Linked DNA regions of Nothobranchius furzeri. The protein of the gene in region 1 purifies or fractionates together with the protein of each later gene. This does not show direct contact. Links are inferred from orthologs where the notes say so. Each region holds a gene or a part of one and is shown in the gene's direction. Other genes may lie near its edges.

What was found. The genes of interacting proteins can lie anywhere in the genome.
Region 2: the proteins of rnd3a (region 1) and plekhg5b purify together in Homo sapiens (affinity purification with western blotting; 3 studies listed by BioGRID and IntAct, with this or other methods). This does not show direct contact. The link is inferred for Nothobranchius furzeri from reciprocal best matches to the Homo sapiens genes RND3 and PLEKHG5.

Annotation. Positions count from the first base shown.
Region 1 is NC_091754.1:56,844,673-56,848,910, reverse strand, and holds the start of rnd3a (rho family GTPase 3a), read left to right. Parts: upstream 1-1,387; 5' UTR 1,388-1,499; coding exon 1,500-1,637; intron 1,638-1,774; coding exon 1,775-1,862; intron 1,863-4,238. UniProt on the Homo sapiens protein: Binds GTP but lacks intrinsic GTPase activity and is resistant to Rho-specific GTPase-activating proteins.
Region 2 is NC_091755.1:39,711,261-39,714,914, forward strand, and holds part of plekhg5b (pleckstrin homology domain-containing family G member 5), read left to right. Parts: intron 1-1,686; coding exon 1,687-1,824; intron 1,825-1,908; coding exon 1,909-2,028; intron 2,029-2,116; coding exon 2,117-2,249; intron 2,250-2,442; coding exon 2,443-2,558; intron 2,559-2,646; coding exon 2,647-2,804; intron 2,805-2,899; coding exon 2,900-3,654. UniProt on the Homo sapiens protein: Functions as a guanine exchange factor (GEF) for RAB26 and thus regulates autophagy of synaptic vesicles in axon terminal of motoneurons. Involved in the control of neuronal cell differentiation.

The DNA of each region.
Region 1 (4,238 bases):
GATGATGGCAAAAGAGGGACGATGTAGAAAAAAGTTAGAAATGACTGATATTACTGCCTTTTCAGTGCAGTACACCTCAAACAGCTAGAGGTACTATGCTTGTTTCCTCCACCAGAAAATTTTGATAGAGGTGGCCAGATGGGGCCAAATTAATTTTTGGGGTGGCACACCAAATTGGTCCTTGTGGTAACTCTGGGAGAGTTTAGCTTGTGGCATTGTATTGCATTGCTTTTTTATTCATTTTTATGAAAAAAAAAAACTGCATGTATCCAAAACATTTAACTTAAATTTTACAAACACAAACATTTCAGAAAAATACATAGTTACTTGAAATGTTATTTAGAGTTTTATTTTAAAATGTTTTTTTGTTTAATTCACCTGTTGCTGTCCACAAAAAAACTATGGAGATAAACAGGGTATCTGCAGGTTTAAGGGAGCAAAATGTAAGGCTTTTTAAGACCTTTTTAAGGCCACTTAGACCAAATTTAAGCAATTTTTTTTAAATTAAATTTAAGCTATAATTTCCAGCTATTGCCTGGAACTGGTGCTAACCACGTCGCGAACGTAAGATTAGCCATTAGCCATCCAGTTACCATTAAATTCCCACTAGCTTAACCAGCTAATGTGCTAATCTAAAAATAGCCCCCTTTCACAACCAATGGAATGTGTATGGCTCTGCTTATGCCAATATCATACACAAAAAAATGCTGAACACTTACTAGAAATTCAGAAAATTTTTTATAGAAATAAAAGAATCTTGTTTATTGGGTCTTTGGTAATTTAAGGGCTTTGAAGGCTGTATTTAAGGATCAATAGTCATTTTTAAGGATTTTTAAGACCTTAAATTTGGAAAAGCTAATTTAAGACTTTTTAAGACTTTTTAAGGACCCGCGGATACCCTGATAAAAACTTTTAAAAAATGGTAAACAGCAGAAACATATGTAATTTTTTATTCAGATTATTTCTTTACTCATTAATTGTATGAATTTTATTTTTACAATTATGTCTTGAATAAACAAGATCAATTTATGGTTTGACTGAACATTAATATGATTTATTAACACTGGCTTTTCCTGGAAGGGCCAGCAATTTCCTGGGGGGGGGGGGGGGGTTGTGGCCACCCCTGGCCACTCCTTGGGGGCGCCTTTGCCCCTGTCATGTAGCCATTTCTGTTATTGTTTTTTTTTCTCTCTCTCTTTTACAGCCATTTGAGTTAACAGATCAGGCACTGTGTTACGTTTTGATTTATTTCCTTATTAGAAAGTTGTGATCCGAAGGGGGGCGCCGTCGGTGGAAAACCCCAGCGGGCTGCGGTGTGTGGAGGCGGGCAGGGAGGGAGGGAGGGAGGGAGGGAGGCCCTGCTGCCATTGGCTCCCGTGACGCTATAAATGCAGGCAAATGGCATTTACCGGCACAGAGCAGGCGGAGACAGCGGAGGGACCGGTTAAAGGACAGGGACGAGCGATTAATACACATCCAGGATTTGTCACATCCCCTCAATGAAGGAGCGACGGTCGTGTCAGAAGCCCAGCATGGATCCGAGTCCCAGTGTGAAGTGTAAGATCGTGGTGGTGGGGGACAGCCAGTGCGGGAAGACCGCGCTGCTTCACGTGTTTGCAAAGGACTGTTTCCCAGAGGTGAGACACCGATCCCGGATCAGAACCTCTTCATCTTCTGCTTTAGTCATGCTAAACCACGTGTTATTTAACCATGCATGCACGCGCTGGTTCTATCAGTTCTTACCTAGTGCTGTGATTTCTCTGCACCCCCTCAGAGCTATGTCCCCACTGTGTTTGAAAACTACACGGCCAGTTTTGAAATCGACACCCAGAGGATTGAGCTCAGCCTGTGGGACACCTCAGGTAATAAAACACCCACGATCACCTTGTTTCCTGTCTGTGGACATGTCCTGACATGTCCCCCCATGAATGTTTGACTACGAAACACAAACACACACATTCAGGTTTAAATGCTGCAGTGTGTGAGGATTTTTGAAAAATATTTGGCCCATTTCAGTCGATTATAACTGGGTTAGTCCCATCACACAGCTGTTTCCTCAGATTACAGCATAAAACGAATAATGTCAAAGGTTTATCTCTAAATAAAGCAGAAACGTGATATTTATGATGGACCAACATCTGGTGAACACACTTCCCAGAACTGTCCAGTTTTGTTTCTTTTTAAAATTTTCCAGGAAAGTTGTGCAATGTCTTTCTTTTAACCTGGAAATATTTTGTTTTGTTGGATCATGTGATCAAATCAGTCAATGCAACCTTTTAAACATGTAAACAAACTCACTTTACATCAAGCAGTGTGTGTGTGTGTGTGTGTGTGTGTGTGTGTGTGTGTGTGTGTGTGTGTGTGTGTGTGTGTGTGTGTGTGTGTGTGTGTGTGATGGGCGGGGACAAGTCGGCAGCCAGCTGTTGCGGGTCCCTGGCCTGGAATTCCAAAGCGATGTCTGAATAACTTTCTCGAACATTAAAACCAGCTTGAAACATTTTTCTCAAGGAAAAAAATGCGAAACCAAAGAACTCAAGTTACAGATTCTCCCTGAGCGGCGTCTCCAAGTGGAATATTTTTGCTTTTTTTTTTTTTGTGCTTGAGGGGTGATGAAAAACAAAGGAGTAGAGGAGGGTTGGTGGTGTGGGTGGAGAGGATCGGTCTAGATCCAGACTTTTGCTTTATTGCACCGTGTTGGCCGGCTGCCTCCAACCAGAAGTAGGAGGTTGTGTGTGTGTGTGTGTGTGTGTGTGTGTGTGTGTGTGTGTGTTTTCTATTAGATCAGTAGGTTTCAGATGGGGCCTGATACCCCTTCCCTACCCCCACACCTTCATCCTAACCCCCACCCAACGCAGACATCTAGTGACCGATTGATACAGCTTTCAGCTTGGCTGGTCCCTTTGTACGGACACCCATTGCTCCCCCCAGCTAGTCCAATCGATCCCTTATCTGTTGAGGTGAGATATGGAGGAGGGTGTTTTTGTGCACGGCTCGAGCACGTTCTGGGACAAAGACCACCGTGCAGGCACTGAACCGCTCAGAGGCGTGGAGGCGGTCTTTGTTTGGCGCTGATGAGCGGCTTAATGAGCAGCCCGGTGTGTGTTCAGTGTGTTTAAAAAAGCGAGGGTGGTGGGTGTAATTTGGGTCATTAAGGTAAATGCCTGCCAGTTGTGCTGCCTTCCTCTTTGACCCGCCCGCTCTGTCTGAGCCTGTGTTGAGCTCCAGTCTCAGGGTGAGGCCTTTGAAGCTTCTCTCAGTGGCAGAGGATTTGTATTTTGTTGTGTTTTTTCCTTCTGAATGAACCGTGAAGGTGTTTGTTTGGGACTTGAACAGGATGAGAACATAGCATTGGTGAACCGAGCGACCCCAGAGGCCCGGTACCTCATCTGCCTGAGGCTTGTTCTGAATTCAGGAGAGAGAATGAGGAAAGAAAATATCTCAGAACAATCGAGTAAGAACACTAGTACGAATGCTGCAATTATCCTTCATTACTGACAGTTTTACAAATGTCACAAAATGGCAACCTGGTCACTTGAAAGGATCAAACCATCACCCAAAATTAATGTTGAGTTTTAATCTGTAATTAGTGCAGTTGTGTGATATTTGATGATTCACTTTTTATTCACGGATAAGATTTATAAACTAGAGCTCTGTTAGGGTAGCCTGGCGAGCCATCCTATATGTGTAAATACACAGGCCCTGTCCACACGTAGCCGGGGATCTGCCAAAACGTAGATATTTTTCTACGTTTTGGCCTGTCATCCACACGAAAACGGAGTTTTTTCACACGAAAACGGATCCTTTTAAAAACTCCGGCCAAAGTGAAGATCTGCATTTTCTCCGTTTTGGGTGTCTGCGTGTGGACAGACAAAACCGTAGTTTTAAAGTCCGCAACGTCACTTTCCGCGACAAAAAAAAAAATGCTGACATCACGTGTGCGACCTGTGTTTACACTAGCCGACAGCACGGATGCCCTCAGAGCTGCGCTCGCTTTATCAATTGTCCAAGCGCTTTCTGCTTGTTTGTTTTTGCAAGCGGAATTACTGCTCCTTGCGGAAGACCACAGACGAAGAATGAGGTTAAGAACGGGGGAAGTACTGCCGCCTACAGGTCTGGCATGTCCATAACAACGTATTTATCCGGGTACTTGTGGACGGAGTTTTTTTTTTAAACGAGGTGGTGTGGATGCAAGTTTTTGGAGGGGCGGATATTCGTTTTTTAAAAAACCCAGCTACGTG
Region 2 (3,654 bases), on another chromosome or scaffold:
ACATGTCCCAGAGATAACCCACATGTCCCAGAGATAACCCACATGTCCCAGAGACAGCCCACATGTCCCAGAGATAACCCACATGTCCCAGAGACAACCCACATGTCCCAGAGATAGCCCACATGTCCCAGAGACAACCCACATGTCCCAGAGATAACCCACATGTCCCAGAGATAGCCCACATGTCCCAGAGATAACCCACATGTCCCAGAGATAACCCACATGTCCCAGAGATAACCCACATGTCCCAGAGATAACCCACATGTCCCAGAGACAGCCCACATGTCCCAGAGACAGCCCACATGTCCCAGATACAACCCACATGTCCCAGAGACAACCCACATGTCCCAGAGATAACCCACATGTCCCAGAGATAGCCCACATGTCCCAGAGATAGCCCACATGTCCCAGAGATAGCCCACATGTCCCAGAGATAGCCCACATGTCCCAGAGATAGCCCACATGTCCCAGAGATAGCCCACATGTCCCAGAGATAACCCACATGTCCCAGAGATAACCCACATGTCCCAGAGATAGCCCACATGTCCCAGAGATAGCCCACATGTCCCAGAGATAGCCCACATGTCCCAGAGATAGCCCACATGTCCCAGAGATAGCCCACATGTCCCAGAGATAGCCCACATGTCCCAGAGATGGCCCACATGTCCCAGAGATAGCCCACATGTCCCAGAGATAGCCCACATGTCCCAGAGATAACCCACATGTCCCAGAGATAGCCCACATGTCCCAGAGACAACCCACATGTCCCAGAGATAGCCCACATGTCCCAGAGATAACCCACATGTCCCAGAGATAGCCCACATGTCCCAGAGATAGCCCACATGTCCCAGAGATAACCCACATGTCCCAGAGATAGCCCACATGTCCCAGAGATAGCCCACATGTCCCAGAGATAGCCCACATGTCCCAGAGATAGCCCACATGTCCCAGAGATAGCCCACATGTCCCAGAGATAGCCCACATGTCCCAGAGATGGCCCACATGTCCCAGAGATAGCCCACATGTCCCAGAGATAGCCCACATGTCCCAGAGATAACCCACATGTCCCAGAGATAGCCCACATGTCCCAGAGACAACCCACATGTCCCAGAGACAGCCCACATGTCCCAGAGATAGCCCACATGTCCCAGAGATAACCCACATGTCCCAGAGATAGCCCACATGTCCCAGAGATAACCCACATGTCCCAGAGACAACCCACATGTCCCAGAGACAACCCACATGTCCCAGAGACAGCCCACATGTCCCAGAGACAGCCCACATGTCCCAGAGATAGCCCACATGTCCCAGAGATAACCCACATGTCCCAGAGATAGCCCACATGTCCCAGAGATAGCCCACATGTCCCAGAGATAACCCACATGTCCCAGAGGAACCTTAAACCGGGCACACCTGGTCACCTCACAACTTACTGCAGCTGTTTGTCTGAGGATCCACAGCTGTGTGGTAACTTTAGGGACCCTAATGAGCCGCTGTCAGCAGCACTCCGTTCACTCTTGTTTACTCTTGTTTACGTGTGTTGATGTCTTGTTTACGTGTGTTATGGCCGACATCTGCTACGGTTTCACTCTACAAAGGTTCCCTGGTTAGATTTGATCATGACAGCAGAACTTGTCTTTGTGGACGTGGATCAGCTCTGACCTTGTGATTCATCCTTGCGTTAAGGTGGCCACGGTGGAAGACTTCATCAACAGCGTGGATTCTCAGATGCGTCAGCGTCAGGAGCGGCAGAAGCTGGCCACCATCTCCGCTCGCATCGACTCCTACGAGGCTGTAGAGGGCAGCAGCGAGGAGGTAGAGAAGGTGAGACGTGGGTTTTTAAACACGGCATTTCTCTAGAGAGCTATTTTTAAGCTTTTGTCTCTCTTGGGGTCCTTCCCTATTCAGATCCTCAAAGAGTACAACCACTTTGATCTGATGGCTCCCATGAGAGGCACATCTCCGGAGGAGACCCGACAGCTGCATCTGGAGGGAGCGCTAAGGATGAAGGAGGGCAAAGACAGCAGGGTAAGCACGGGGCCTCACGGCTGCTCACAAACACGGTACTCCACTCTGCTGTTTGAAGGCACACCTGGCCTCTGACTCTGCCCCGCAGATGGAGGTCTACTGCTTCCTGTTCACTGACCTGCTGCTGATCACCAAACCAGTGAAGCGGGTGGAGAAGGTTAAAATCGTCCGCCAGCCTCTGCTCATTCACAACGTTGTCTGTAAGGAGCTCAAAGATCCCGGTGAGACGTCTCGGTGATTGGAATTCAAATTTTCTGTTTTGTCTTCAAATGCGACTCAAAGGAGATCTTTGTAGTTATGAAGAGCGGCCGTCTGCAACGCGAGCACTTAGAAAACTCCTCCGTTTGGCTGATGACGCACCGTTAGACGTCTCCTTCTGCTGATGACGGTTTGCACGTTTATGTGTCTCTCAAGGCTCGTTTGTGCTCGTCTACCTCAATGAGTTCAAGAGTGCAGTTGCAGCCTACACGTTTCAAGCCAACAGCGCCACCCAGGGTAGAAGCTGGATAGATGCAGTTTGCAATGTCCAGGTTCGTGGCACGCTTTGAATTTACAACCTTTTAAGTAATTCTGTAGTTTGTTGGTTTTGTGTTGTAATAGATTACTGTCCCCCATCAGAATCAGCTGCAGAAGCTTCACACTCAGGAGATGCTTCGACAGCAGGACATTCTTAAACGATGTCCGGAGGAGGAGGAGGAGGAGGAGGAGGAAGACGAGAGCAGCAACTCTACCGCAAGTTCTCCTGTCCTACGGCGCAAGAATGAGCAGAACTCCAGGTCCTCCTCTCAACTTTCACAATTCACGGGAAAAAAATAACATTTGCACCAGCGAAGGAAAGCAGTTGGTAATCAAACAGATCTTTTCTTTTCAGCCAATCAGACGGCTCCACTGAGACCCTGTCTGTGATGGATGTTGATGAGCCGGTCGAGCAGCAGCAGCCTTCAGCCTCCAAGGCAAACCTGGAAGAAATCACCGAGTGTGCCGCCGCTCTCCACTCTGAGAGCTCTGAGGTCCAACAGTCCACCCGCCGGGGCGACCCGCTCCCCCCTGAGCACGGTCCGGAGGTGTTGGACCCTCAGCGTCGGTCTCTCTCCATGGACAGCGCCTACGGTACCCTCTCCCCCGAGTCCCTCCTGCGAGAGCTGCAGCTTCAGCCCGTCCACAGTGAAGGAGAGGAGACGGAGGAGGAGGGATTCCAGGAGGTGGAGCTGAGTGAGACAGGAACAGAGGAGGTGGGAGAGCTGGAGGAGGAACAGGAGTCACGGAGGTCCCAGCTGTCTAAACCTCACCAGCGACCTCCTGTCCAACCAATACTCCACTGTCTGCAGAAGCTGTCCTCCTTTGCTTTATCCCGCTCCGAGGACAACTTGCTTCAGTGTTTCCATGGTGACAGCCCCATCTCTCACACGCACTCTCTCAGCTCCAACTCTGAGGAGTCCCAGAGCGGGGACACGTCCTCTCTGCCTCACAGCAAGAGCCTATCGGAGCTGCGGCGAAATGGCCTGAACCGCTCCGAGGACTGCCTGAGCGCGAGGGTGGCGTCCAACAGACTCCAGGCCGGCCTGAGCCGGGCAGACGCCGTGCGCTGTCGCAGGGTCCCTGACGGACTCTGTGAGGAGCTTGATG